Linked DNA regions of Lonchura striata. The protein of the gene in region 1 purifies or fractionates together with the protein of each later gene. This does not show direct contact. Links are inferred from orthologs where the notes say so. Each region holds a gene or a part of one and is shown in the gene's direction. Other genes may lie near its edges.

Region 1 (7,011 bases):
CACTTGTTGCATATTCATACACCTTCATGGTTATGCATACATTCTATTCTAAACAAGAAACTCTGTTGTATGTCAACTGTTTTCTTTAATCTCCTGGCGTCTTCGATTCTGAGCAAGGCCTAAAGAAATTAGTTTCTTCTGATAAGAAGCCATAAATTCCTCTCCTTTGGAAGATTTAGGTGTTCCTCGAAGTGAGTATATCATCCTAAAAAAAGAAAAAGACCTTCCCCCCCATATACAGAGTCTCTATATATATATTTTTTTTTTAACTACAAAAGTCTTCATTTTAACTACAACAGCACAACTAACCAATATAACATAATACATATAGTAACTATCTGCTTAGAGCCATATAATATGCATTTTTCACAGGAGGGCAGCAGGGAGAGCCTGGGCAGCCAGGTCTGCCCAGCCCCTTCCTAAACCCACCCAGGGACTGCAGACACAGAGGTTCTGTCTGCTGGAAGCCAGAGGATTCACTCCAGGAGATGAGGGGGTTGTCAGTTGTGAGAACCCCGGGCTTGGTCTGGGGTCTCATGTGGTGGTAAAGTCTTTCCTCCAACCCGTGCTTCCAAAGAAAGACTCCTCTTATTGTTCGGTCTCAAGGCAGTTTATTGTAAGAAATCGAAAAGATTGTTTTTGTGGGCTGTGGCTGTTTGGTCAGCGACCCAGGCAGAGACACACACCCTGACACCCTCTCTGTCTGCTGTCTTCTTCTTCTCCCTGCCCAGGGCTGCTGCTAGCTTTTATATGATATATTATGTATAATATGTGTACAGTTTTCCCCCAATACCTACTACTGATATTAAATGGTGCTTTTATACTCGAAACCAATCTGTGAGTGCCAACATCACCAAGAACATGGAGGCAAGGAAGAAGAAGGAGGAAGAAAAGGATCAGCCCACTTTCCTCCATCTTAGAACTTCTGACTGCCATGTACAAAGTAAAACCCCCCTGTACATGTGCTAAAACCCCCCTGTACAATACAAAAAAAAATTCCCCTCTGTTTTGTAACTACTTTTACTATACTATCTAACCCTTTGTGACTGCTTGTTCCACCTTCAAAGTTGGTAACTCATTCCATGGCTCAAACTCAAAATCACAGCTGTTTCCAGCTGCCCACCAGGGTCTAAAATGCTTCTGACCAAGGCCTGGAACCTCCAAAAATGTCTGAGGGACATTTTGAGTTCAAACAGTCAGTGAAAGTCTTGGTTCCAGAGCATGTCCCAGACCCCAGTTCCATCTGCTGCTCCCTGCCCCATGGAAGGGCTGTGGGGCAGAGCTGTGGGGCAGGGATTTGGAGCTGGCTCTGGAGCAGCCAGGTGTGGGCTGCAGTTCCTGCAGAGGAGTCGGTGTGATCTTTGTGCTTGGTTTGGGGGAGCTTTGCTTTGTTTTTCTCCCCCTTTTGAAATGGTGAAAAGGGGGGAAGCACGGCCACTGCCTCACTGTCCCACTCAGCTACTCCCTACTAATTAATACATTGTATTTTCTGTATTTCTTCTGCAAGAGACTCCCTTAAGGCCACAGAGCAGAGATCTAGGAAGCTGAGAGCAGTGAGGATACCCTCCAAAACTCATCATTGAGCCAGAGCTCACTGCTGGGCTGAGCCTCCTATCTGGGCGCCTTTCCAGCTGTGCAGGACAACGGTGTCAGCCTTGTCACCTGTCGGGGTCTGGCTGCTGCACCCCGAAGCACAGGGCTTGTTTGCAATATTTAACAACCACTTCCCAGTGCTGAGATTTCTGTCAGGGACAGTAAAAGTGCTCAGCTGCAGGCAGGGACAACAGGGTTTCACTGCAGGAAATGGATCCTTGCCCTGCTGGTATCAGCCCATGGCAGATTTAGGCACTGACCCCATTTCTTCTTCTCCTTAGGCCTGTGCTGTGCACTGAGGCACATCCACAGTCTGGGGCACCGACCACTTTGGCCAGTGTGATGAAATCTCCTTGGTGCCACTTTTCCATGGACCTGGCAATCCCAGCTGACTCTGGTACCTGTTCAAGGCAGTAACCAGCAGTTACAATCAGTATTAATATTTTACGGTGCTGTCAAAACCCACACAGGAAGCTGCTGGGACAGGCTGCTAATGTGTTAAAGCTCCCAGGATGTTTGGGTTGGTTTTACAGACACTACCGAGCTTTGGGGTCGGAGTGTTTGGCATCCCCTCCCTCAGAACACAAACACAGCTGGGATTTCATCTCTGGCTGAGCACCACACAGGGGGATGAGCTCTGTGAAGGAGCCATTGTCACCTCTCAGCACCACTCCTCCAGCGTCATCTGCTTCTCCAGAGCAAAGCACAATTCCAAGCAAATCCCACATGGATCCCCATCCCGGAGCCTGGCTGGAAGATCTGGGCGCTCGGGCAGGACCCGGCTGTGCAGGAGCAGATCCTGTGTGGTGGCCATGGGCTGGAGGAGCCCCGAGCCCCGTCCCCCAGTGTCCTAGGGTGACCTTATGGTGTTTGTATCTCCAATCCTGTGTTCTGTTTATGTCTGATATTATGTTCTGTGCTTTCAGAACTGACTCTGAAAGTGAAGGTTTGTTTTGCCTTGTTGTCAGCCAGTTCACCTCCCTCCATGGTCTGCTGTCTAGAAAAGGCTGGTGCTGGCTTGCTTGCTTGCTTGCTTTGCTTGCTTCTGCTTTTGCCTTTGCTTCCTAGTTAGTTTAGCTAAGCAGTCCAATTCTTTCCCTGGACTGTTTCCTTTCCTTTCCTTTCCTTTTCCTGAATAGCATCCAACCTGCTCCGGACTGGGACCTGGAAACACTGAGGAGCACCCAGAGCCTGCATTTTGTGATCTGCAGCAGCCATCCCCAGTGAAGGAGAGCAATCCCCAGCGTCCAGACCTGGGCAACCACGCCCAGGAAAGACTCTCTGGATTTGTTCATCTCTTCAGAGTGGTGAGTTTTGTTGTCATCTGGTGTTGTTATTTTCTTTGGTGCTGGGGAGTGCTTTGTTTGTTAAATAAACAGGTTCTTTTCCACTTCTCTCAGAGAAATTTGTTTTTCCCGAATCAGGTAGGTGGGGAGGGGCTGTGGGGGTCTGTTTTCTGGGGGCTCCTTCCAGAGGGTTTTCCCCAAATTTGCCCTAAACTAGGACACCCAGGAATGAGCCACGGCTGGCTGTGACACCTGCAAGGGGTTTGGGCAGCTCTGAGCTCCCACACAACCATTAGTGTCAGCCAAACGGGAAGTCCCGTCGGGGGAACAGTTAAGCCATTACATGTCATCCAAGGAGACCACGATGCGATGCCTGGTTTACAAGCGCTGCTGTGCGGCCTCTTTGGAGCAGGAGCAGAACCAAAGCCAGATTAAAAATGAAATTAAAACAGAATTAAATTTTTAAAAATTATGTGAAAAAAAATTTAAATTCGTATTGTTTTATTATATAGAAAAAGACAACATCCTATAATTAATATTATACAATATGCTATACAATAGATAATGTAATTATCATTAAGATATAAATATTACTACAAAATTATGAACAATTATTATAAATATTATTAATTAATCAAAACCACATAAAAATATAAATAAATAAATAATTCAGCAGGGGTTGCCGGCGGCCCGGCCCCGCTCACCCTCACACCACGGGGCCGGGAGGGGCCGGGAGGGGCCGGGAGGGGCCGGGAGGGGCCGGGAGGAGCCGGGAGCAGCCGGGCCCGCTCCGGGCCGCCATCGCATTCCCGGCCGGGCGCTCCCGTGTCCATCCCCGGCCCCGCCATCCCCGGAACCCCGGCCCCGCCCACCCCGCCCTCCCGACCAATCCCCGCAGCGCTCCCGATGACTGACAGCACAACGTCCTGCCCCTCACCGCCAGGCCGATGGGCGGGGCGTTCCGTGACGCAACCCTCAGTGCCTTGAGCGGCGGGCGGACTGACCAATGGGAATGCGTATTCGCGCAGGGGGCGTGGCCTCCCCGCCCTCGAGGCCCCGCCCCGGCGCGGCGCGGCGCCTGCGCTGCACCGCCCCCTGGCGGCCGCGGGGAGGGCCGTCGGTCGGCGCTGCGGCAACATGGCGGGGCGGGTAAGTGGGGGGGACCCGGCCGGCCGCTATCGCCATCCCCTGCCCCCTCCTCCGCTCCGCTCCTCCCTGCCCCGCGGCTTTGCGAGCTTCTCGCGTTCCCGCTGCCGGGAGGCCTTTCAGCCCCGGGGGTCCCCCGGCAGCGCTGTGAGGCTGTGGTGACCCCCTCGCCCCCGGCGGTGTGGGGGGTCCTGACGGGCCTGTGGGGCTGTGGAGACGCCCCCGGTGTGTGGGGGGCTGGCGGTGACCCCTCTCCCGGTGTGCCCTCTCCCGGTGTTCCCCGGGGCTTTCTGGAGGCTGAGGTGGCCTCTTGGTGATGTGGCATGTGGGACAGGACTGGGTTCCTTCAGGAGCCGGGCAAGGGTGACCCGTCTCCTTGTGGGGCAGGATTTTAGGGTCCCCCAGGGGTGCTGTGGGACCCGGGTGGCCCCTTGGCAGCGTGGGGTTTGGGACAGGACTGGGGCTTCCCTCAGGAGCAGGGTGACCCCTCTCCATGTGGGTGTGAGGCAGCATTTAGGGTTCCCTCAGGGTGCCGTGAGGTTGTAGTGGCCTTGTGGGGTGCAGAGCTGAATTTTGGGGTTTCCTGGAGGTGCTCAGAGGCTGTGGTGACCCCTTGTGCTGTGGGATGAGCATCCGGGGCTCCCTCAGGAGTTGGGGTGCCGCCTGTCCCTGTGGTGAGGGGCAGGACTGTGGGGTGCCCTGGGGGTGCAGTGAAGCCCCGGGTGTCTCGGTGCTGCTGTCAGGATTTGGGGTGCCCGGGGTGCTGTGAAGCTCTGAGACCCCTCTCCCTGTGGGCTGTGGGCAGGGACCTTTAGGGATGCTGTGACAGGGGTGATCCCTTGGTGCTCTGGGATGTGGGGCAGAATTGTGGGATTCCCTGTGGGTCCGGAGTGCCCCTGTCTCCATGGGGTGTGCAGCAAGATTTTAGGGTCCCCTAAAGGTGCTGTGAGGTTATGGTGACCCCTTGGTGCTGTGGGATACAGGGAGATTTTCTCATTTGAGAATCAGCCAGGTGCTGTTTTATAATGTGAGTCCACCTTTTGTTGTGTGGAAACATCTTAAAAGGTTGTGCAGTGTTTTTGTTCTGTATTAATTTAAAAAAATCAAAAAATCCCTTATTAGTGATAGATCACATCAGCTAGTGGCCAGAAAGGCTTTAAAAGGTGAAGGAACAGCCTTGACTGTGAAATCCCTTCTTGTGGTGCCTGCACATCCCCTCCTTTGCAGGTGTCCAGGTGCTGCAGGATGTGTTTGGATTGCTCTGCTCTTTGCCAGGAGCTCAGTCATGCTTTGCTGGGTATCAGCCTGGGAAAATCACATTTTTCATTCATGCTTGCCTCTGGCTGGAATCTTGTCTCTAGGCCAAGTCATTTGGTGGTTGAAATGCTGGGGAATTGGTTTTCCAAGTGCTTTTTGCACTGTGCTGGGCTGTGGATGGAGGGCAGCTGGTGCAGTGCTGTGGTGCAGAGCAGAGGTGAGAAATCTGGCCTGGTGACGTGCCATGCATCACAGGTGCTCCACTGCCACCCCTGAAATGTGCTGAGTAATTGAGAAAAACCCCAGACAGACCCATTTTGTGGTCTGTCTCTCATTAAGAGTGTTTCCTCTGTCCCTGCTCCAGATTCCTGGTCTCACCTTCTTCCTTGCACCTTCTTTTCATCTCACCTTTGCACTTAGCCAGGGAAATCTGTGAGCCTTGACTGGCTTTTTTCAGCGTCCTGTTGCCCAGAACAGGAGCCCAGTCTCTGGTCAGTGGTGAGAACCTTTCACCCACACTGGACGTGGTTCTGAGGCTCCCTGGGCCTAACCCAACCTGGCTGCAGTGCCCCTGAGCCCTCCCAGCTGTGTGCTCAGGGAACACCCTGGTGCATGCTGAGTGCTGGGAGTTGGGACTGGGGATGTGGGGAGAAAGGAGAGGGATCAACCTCTACTTTATTCTTCAGCTTTGAGCTTTTCTGCTACTAAAAAATGTGAGACAAATGTGCCTTTTTTTTGACCAGCCTGGGAGCCTGGTGAAGGAAAGGGGGATTTATGTGAATCTAAAAGAAAGATTGCTGCTTAGCTGCCTCCTAGTCTGGCAATTGGATGAGTGATGCTCTCCTTGGGTTATCAGGAAGCTTCTTAGTATTCAGTGTTGTCATGATTTGCCTACAAATGCAGTTGTTGCAGAATTATCAGGTTGTTTAATGCTGCAGAGAGAATCCCCTAGCTGAGTGTTCCATCTCACTCTCCAAGCTAGCTCTGATGCTTCGAATGCTTTCCACGTGAGCTACCAAGGGAGCTGCCTGCTCCTTCCAGCTGGCCCGTGGGCCAGCAGAGTGCTGGGGAGGGTGGGCAGCAGGGGGGGCAGGAGCAGCACCCCAGAGCTGTGTCAGGTAAACACGGAACACTCGGTGGGAGGATGGAGGTGTGTGATATCTCCAGGCACAACAGGTGAGGCTGATGCTGGAACACAGGTGCTGTTCTGTTGTCAGCATTTTTAACAGGTGCTTCAACCTACAAGATGGGAAGAGGAGCTTCAGTGACTCCTCCTGCCCTGCAAATCTGTTCTGCAATGCCATTTAGATCTTATTCTCTTTTACTGGACTGGTGTGATTTGATTTTTGCAGTACATTCTCACAGGGAGAAATGAATGGCTGTCCTGATGTATGAGAGAGACAAAATATTTAAACTTCTAGTAACATTTTGAATAATTCAGGTGAATGATAAGCTAAATCTGGTTGTGTGATGCTGTTTCAGGTGTGTTACTCTGCTCCCCTAATTGCACTGGGTCTCTCCACAGCAAGGAAGAGATGGTGATTAGCAGTGATTGAAGTTTACAGGAAAAACAGTTTATGATGATTAGAAATAATGGCTGTTTCTGTAATAATTTATTCTGCAGCTCTGCATGGGGATCATTAGGCAGAGCAGTGAGGCACCTGCAGGAGAGGGAATGGTGGGAAGCTGCTGTGTCTGTAGCTGGTTGTGGACCTCTTGTACTGAGTGG
Region 2 (7,323 bases), on another chromosome or scaffold:
GGCAGGGACGCCCCAAATCCTGCCAGCGTGGGAAAGTCATCCCAAATTCAGCAAGGAAGGGCCAGCAAATGCCAGCCCTAAAGCTGCCACCTGTTGCAGCACTCCTGGTGTGGGGCTGGCCGGAGCAGGAGGTGGATTTCTGAGCCCAAGAAATGCAGGAACCGGTTCAACGTGTGCCGCAGCCTTCCCACCCCAGGCTGAGCGTGAGGAAAGCTGCTGGGATTGCAAAAGCTGGCTCTCCTGTTCCCATGCTGAGGAGGCACCACTGCAAATGGGGTTTGTGCCCATTCCCTGCCTTTGCTCGGGATGCTGGGCCACTGCCACCTTTGGGAAGCACAGGCCAGGATGTGCTCTTTGCTTAAAATTTGGGGGATTCCTCCTGGCCAAGCCTCTGCAAAATCAACTCACGTGGGAGTAAGGCTGTGTGTATGTGGATGGGGACATCTCCCAGAGCTCTGCAGGCACCATCCCTCTCCTGCCAGCTGCTGCAAGCCCAGGGCTACCTGTGCTCAGCTCCTAAAGAGCCCAGAGATTTGAGAGAGGTGGGAATGAGGGATCCCCACCCGGGCATGGACAGCATCCAAGCGACACAGGGCTGTTCTCACCCCACAGAAGGGGAGGAAGGAAGCCGTGCCTGTGCCTCTGCAGGGCAGGAAGGGCAGCAGGAGCCGAGCAGGCTGCCTGTCACTCCCTCCTGCTTCCTCCCTCACTGCCTGGGAACACAGCCTGCCTGGGCCACTCCTGCCGGGCACCCCGTGCCAGGGACAGGGCCCCACAGTGCCAAGGTTTTGCTCTGTGAAACCGGGTGAAGGAGGCCAGCTGGCTGGTTTATATGAGGTTTGAAAGACTGCAAATCTTGTGAGAAGGAAGGGGTTTAGTCTCCTGGCTTTAGCATAAAGCACAAAATTCCTTCCCAACAGAGGAGCCGGACATGAACAACACTGCTGCTAACTGCAGGTGTGTGAGAAGATGGTGCTCGAACACCTTACCTCACTTCCTCTCTGCACTGAGCAGGCTGCTTTTAGTTCTCCAAAATAAAAAAATTATTATCTTTAATCCATATAACCCAAAGAATGGCACACACACCACCTTCTGCATGGTCTCGCTGGTGCTAAGGACTGTGGACCATTGTGGCAAGGGGAACACAGGAACGTGTAACCACCTCTGTCATTATAGGGCTGCTGAGAGAAGTGTTGGACTCAGCAATCCTGCAGCCCTATTCAGCCCTGATGAGAGCATTTTTGGGGTGCTGTGTGCACCTCTGGGCTCTAAGGAAGGGCTGCCAAGAAGATGGAGCCAGACTCCGCTCGGTGGTGCCAACCATCAGGACACAGGAGGAAAGGGGCAGGAACCGATGTTCAGCAAGTTCCACATGAACAGAAGGAAGCTCTGTCACTGTAGGAGTAACCAGGCTGTGAAAAATGCCAATCACTTGGTTTTTAAAAATTTTAAAAGTTTAATAATAAAATGGTTATAAAAATAGTAATGCAATTAGAGTAATAAAGTTTAGAGTCAGGACAATTACAAGACAATAAAAAGCAAAGAATTACGACAACGTCCAGATGCTCTCGGACACTAAGTCTTGTGAACAAGGGAATCACCCTTAAACCAATACACTTGTTGCATATTCATACATCCTTCATGGTTATGCATACATTCTATTCTAAGCAAGAAACTCTGACGTATGTTTCCTTTAATCCCCCTGGCATCTTTGGTTCTGAACAAGGCCTGAAGAAATTAGTTTCTTCTGATAAAAAGCCATAAATTCCTCTCCTTTGGAAGATTTAGGTGTTCCTCGAAGTGAGTGTCTCATTCCTAAAAAAAAAAAGAAAAAACCAGAAAAAACCTTCCCCCCCACATACAGAGTCTTTATTTTTTTTTAACTCCTAAAGTCTTCATATTAACTACAAAAGCACAACTAATCAATATAGCGTAATACATATAGCAGCTATCTGCATAGAGCCATATAATATGCATTTTTCACAGGGCTGATTTATTAAAAAAATGTGGATATTGATCTAGTACTGATATCCAACAGTCAAGGACAAAAACTCTCTAACAGTATAAAGTTAAAGGTGTGTGTTTATTTTGTGCGGGATCGCTCCCAAATCCACACTGCACCTTCCAGGTGGTTACAGAGCCTTTTTATCCATACAAGTATTGAATACACAAAATACAAATACATATTCATCATTTTGGTACATCCCATTCCTCGCTTTGTATGCTAATCACTCCAAAAGCCATTCAGCACGCGTGGTTTGTCCCTTGAAATGGGTCGGTGTCCCTTTCATGGGGAGGGGTCCCAAAATGAGGAAGTCAATGAAGTCTTCCTCCTTCTGACCTTTCTACCTTTTCAATGCAAATATGACAAATGAATCTTGGTAGAACTCCCATTCCTTGTCTTCAATTGGTTTCAGAACAGACGAGGCCCACAATTGTCTTATGTTCCTAAAAGCTGTTTGTCAGTCTCTGTATTCTTCATTATAAACCCAGCTAACTAAACATTGTGTCACTATAGGACACGTAAAAGCACGATGCGAGTCGCTGCTATTGCAAAGGTGAAAAAGAGGAAGTTTATTTTCTGACTCCAGCATTTATACTTTTCCAAAGGTGACAGTGGATTGGAGGGTGAAGGTGCCACCTCTCCAATGACATTGGACAAACTACCAGTACATCAAGTTTCTCCACCTCTGTGAAGGAATGCAAAACAATAGGTTGTTTGCAGAAAGTTGTGTGAGAAAGTTCTCTAACAGAATGTAAACTCAGAAGGCTTAAGAAAATCTTAAAAATCAGGGCGACAACATTGTGCTGACAAGCAATCAATTATTAGTCAACTGCTAACTCTTAACTTCATCAAGGCCTACTCATTTATTTTAATTAACTCTAGTAGGGCTTATCTCTAACTAAAATCTTAGCTCCTCTAAAATCTCTAAACCCCTTAAAATTTACGTTTCAGGGCAATGGAACAGATGGCCCAGAGAGGTCCATGGGGACACAACCCGTGCCACGTGCTCGGGGGTGAGAAGGGAGGCGGCACCGCCGAGTTCCCTTCCACCCTGAGCCATGCTGGGCGTGATGCGCTGGGTGGCTGTGGGAACTCAAAATGTCCCTCAGACATTTTTGGAGGTTCCAGGCCCCGGTCAGAAGCATTTGAGACCCTGGCAGGCAGCTGGAAACAGCTGTGATTTTGGGTTTGAGCCATGGAATGAGTTACCAACCTTGCAGGAAGAACAAGAAGTCACGAAAGTTTAAATGTTATAGTAGAAGTGGTTATAAAGTAGAGGGGAGAATTTTTTAGTATTGTACAAGCGGGTTTTAACACCTGTACATGGGGGTTTTTTGTTCTGTACATGGGGGTCAGAGGTTTTAAGATGGAGGAATGCAGGCCGGTCCTTTTCCTCCTCTTTCTTCTTCCTTACCTCCATGTTCTTGGTGATGTTGGCACTCTCAGATTGGTTTAGAGTAGAAAAGCACCATTTAATATAGGTAATAGGCATTGGGGAAAAACTGTAAGCATGTAACACGTAATGTACCATATAAAAGATAGAAAAGCACCATTTAATACAGGTAATAGGCATTGGGGGAAAACTGTAACCATGTAACATGTAATGTACCATATAAAAGATAGAAAAGCACCATTTAATACAGGTAATAGGCATTGGGGGAAAACTGTAACCATGTAACATGTAATGTACCATATAAAAGATAGAAAATCACCATTTAATATAGGTAATGGGCATTGGGAAAAATTGTAAACATGTCACACGCAATGTACCATATAAACGAGAGCAGCAGCCCTGGGCGGGGAGAGAAGAAGCAGTCGGGAGTCAGAGAGGATGTCAGGGTGTGTGTGTGCCTCTGCCTGAGCTCTGAGCAAACCACAGCAGCAGAGAAGAAAATCTTTTAGATAACTCGCAATAAACTGCCTTGAGACCGGACAGCAGAGACTGCTGAGTTTTCTTTGGAAGCACGGGTTGGAAGAGAGACTTTTCCACCACATGTAACTCCTGAACCAGGCCTGGGTTCCTTCAGGTGGGAGGGACAGGGGGCACTGCGGGAGGAGCTACGGGAGGAGCTGCGGGACTGCCCGGGCAGCACCGGGACGAAGCCGCGGCCCCTCAGCGCCCCCGCTCCCTCAGCGCTCCCGCTCCCTCAGCGCTCCCGCCCCCTCAGCGCTCCCGCCCCCTCAGCGCTCCCGCCCCCTCAGCGCTCCCGCCCCGCGGCGCCGTGCGCGCTGACGTCACCCGGCCACGCCCCCGGCGGGCGGGGCTGGCGGAGGGCGCGGGCGGGCGGGGCCGGGCCGGGCGGGGCCTGGCGGCGGCCGAGGCGCGCGGCGGCGGCAGCGCCATGTCGATGGAGGACCCCTTCTTCGTGGTGAAGGGGTGAGCCCCGCGCCCCGCGCCCGCCGGGACGCGGCCGCGGGGACGCGTAACCCGCCGGCGGCGCGGAGGGGGCGGGCAGGGCCGCGGCGAGGCTCGGGAGGCCGGCGGAGCGGGGGCGAGCGGCGGCGGGGGTCTGTGAGGGGGGGAAGATGGCGGCGGCCCCCGGGCTGTGAGGGCTCCGCGCCGGTCCGGGGCCTGTTCGCCGGTGCGGGGGCGCTGCCGTGAGGCCTGGGCCCGGGCCTGGCTGCAGGTGCGGCTTGGGGACAGTGGGAAAGGTGCAGGGAGCAGGGAGCGAGCTGTGGGATAAACAATGGCCGTGAGAGGAAGCCTGCAGCGAAGAGCCTGAACGCAGGGAAATACCAGCCGAAGGAAAATTGTCATTAATAGGGTGAAAGGAGCTGTGTTGGAGCTACTGCAGAGGGTCCAGTGGAGGCCACCTAGATGATTTGGGGTCTGGAGCATCTCTCTGGTGAGGAGACACTAGACGAGCTGGGCCTGTTTAGCCCAGAGAAGACAGAGGGGATCTCATCACTCCATACAAATGTCTCTAAGGCGTGTTATGAGGATGGTGCCAGACCCTTTACAGCAACAGGCCATAAACTGAAATTCAAGAAGTTCCACCTCAAGGTGAGGAAGAACTTCTTTCCAGTGAGGGTGGCAGAGCACTGGAAAAGGCTTCATGGAGTTTGCTGCAGACATTCCAAACCCATCTGGAGGTATCCCTGCTCTAGGTGACAGTGAATGACAGGGGGTTTGGACTGGATGACCCACAGAGCACCAGCAATTCTGTGATTCTGTGAAAGCAGCTCCATCACTGAACACTGCCCTCGGGCCACCTTCAGCTTGTGCTGGGGGCTGCTCTCCTGCCCCTTGTCACAGCGAGACAGCCCCAAGGAGCAGCAGAGGGGCTCCTGGTGGGGTGTTTTGGGAGAGCCATGTGAGAAGAAGTGTGGGAATGGATATTGGTACAGCCAGGGAAAATGAATCCCTTCACCAGGATAAACTCGTGCTTAGAGGAAAGTGTAGGAGTCGCCATGGGTGGGGAGCAAACGTCCTGTCAAACTTTCCAGAGATGTTCCTGCAGCGGTGGGGAAGGGCAGGGAGGGGGAAGGGGATGTGCTGCCGCTCCCACAGTTAATTATTACCTGGCAGGTCGGAGGGGCTGCCGGTGGTGTAGCCACCAGAATTGCTACTAGTTTGCTTTTCTGGTGTCTGTAACTCCTCCCATCAGAGGACACCCAGCTCTGCTTTACATTCTTGCTGCTGGGGACTTCCACAAGTGTGGGGAAAAACAAACCCAGCCAAATAAAATCAAAACTTGTGCTGGCAAGTAGAGGAGGGAATGAATTTTTCCAGATCCTCAGTGCAGGCTGCTGGCTTTAGGGCACTCAGAGTGGCAGACTCGGAGCTGTAGGCGTGTGAGAAGAGGAGGGACATGCATCAGAGTGCTGAGAAACTGCAGCTTAGACAGCAACTGGAGGACCAGCTGGATCAGGCCCTGGTGGAACTTACAGAGGTGCAGTCCTGGCACGTCAGTTCATCTGCCCTGGGCCTCCCCTGCTTTCCTTCACTGGGGTGAAACACCTGACTGCTGTGTGCAAGCTCATGGTGGCCTCCTTGGACACCAGCACATCATCTGATCTCCCCGGTGAACCTGGGGGAGCAGTTCAGAGCTTGGGACCGCAGAGTTTGTAAATGCACATAGCCACACTGAGAGTCTGTGACCCAAATTTACAAACCTGCTTGCCCCAAACCAGATGTGTCAGCAGTGCCTTCCCCCGCTGTGAATGCATTCGTCTCCAAAAGAGCTTAGAGCAGCAGAAAAAACTTGTGTTTCCTAAGCCAGCGTAGTAGGCCTGTGTATTTTTTTTAAATGCTGAATTAAAATAAACAGTTCTGCATTCAACAGTCTGCCTGGCTGTGCTGCGGGGACAGTTCCTGTAATTCTGTGTGCCCTTGGGGTATCTTACATGGGTACTTAAGGGCCTTGAGAGGAAAACTGTAGAGAGAGGAATGCAAAGTGTGGATTGCCAAAGAGCTGCCTTGTTCAGACCCTCTGCCCTGGCTTGCCTGGGTGACACTCAGCAGCTTCCCCTGAAGAAATAGGTCCCTTCATGAATAACTTCATGCTGCAGTGAGATTCAGGGCAGATCTTTATTTTACAAAATAAACACGCAGTTGTTGGAAGGAGGGGTGTTTGGGAGGAAGCTGTGGCATTCCTGCTCAGCTGGACACGGGGCTGTCCCAGTGTCACTGCTGCAGGGCAGCTAGTGATAATTCTTGGCTTCTCTTCACTCACCTGCAGGGAGGTGCAGAAAGCTGTGAACACTGCCCAGGGGCTCTTCCAGAGGTGGACAGAGCTCTTGCAAGATCCCTCCATTGCCACAAGAGAAGAAATCGACTGGACTACTAATGAGCTCAGGAACAACCTGCGAAGCATCGAGTGGGACCTGGAAGACCTGGATGAAACCATTAATATCCTTTTTTTGGCCCTTTGGAGGTAGTTGCAGTTCTCAGGTTGTACTAAATAGCAAAGTCCCAGTGCTTGTTCCTCTGCAAAAATCAGGACTGTTTGGGATTGAATTTTGCATTCACATTGGCTTTTCTCAAATTGCAAATGAGAAATTAAGTAAAGGATTTTCCTTTTGTCTTTTTGTCTCCCTTTTTGCAAGGTATATTCTAAGAGGCTTTGTTTTAGAAAGCCTGTTGTGTTGTGTGAATCTGCATTTCTGCAGGCTCAGTTCATTTTCTAGGCTGCCTTCCAGAAATACTCCTTGTCCCTCGTGCTCCTCTGAGTGCTCCTGAAAACACTGCCCAGCATCACAGAACCAAAAAACCACATGGAAAAGAGAAACCTTGTGTGTGTGCTTCACAGCACATTCCTGCCATGTCTCCTTTTCCATCCAGCCTGCAGTTCTTTGCTAATCAGATTTTGGGAAGA

The links. Proteins that work in one complex are often made in the same cells at the same time.
Region 2: the proteins of NSF (region 1) and STX6 purify together in Homo sapiens (affinity purification with mass spectrometry; 3 studies listed by BioGRID and IntAct, with this or other methods). This does not show direct contact. The link is inferred for Lonchura striata from reciprocal best matches to the Homo sapiens genes NSF and STX6.

What each region holds. Positions count from the first base shown.
Region 1 is NC_134627.1:3,022,693-3,029,703, forward strand, and holds the start of NSF (vesicle-fusing ATPase), read left to right. Parts: upstream 1-3,950; 5' UTR 3,951-4,016; coding exon 4,017-4,028; intron 4,029-7,011.
Region 2 is NC_134611.1:2,047,005-2,054,327, forward strand, and holds the start of STX6 (syntaxin-6), read left to right. Parts: upstream 1-4,299; 5' UTR 4,300-4,347; coding exon 4,348-4,382; intron 4,383-6,687; coding exon 6,688-6,857; coding exon of another isoform or gene 6,858-6,871; intron 6,872-7,323. UniProt on the Homo sapiens protein: SNARE promoting movement of transport vesicles to target membranes. Targets endosomes to the trans-Golgi network, and may therefore function in retrograde trafficking.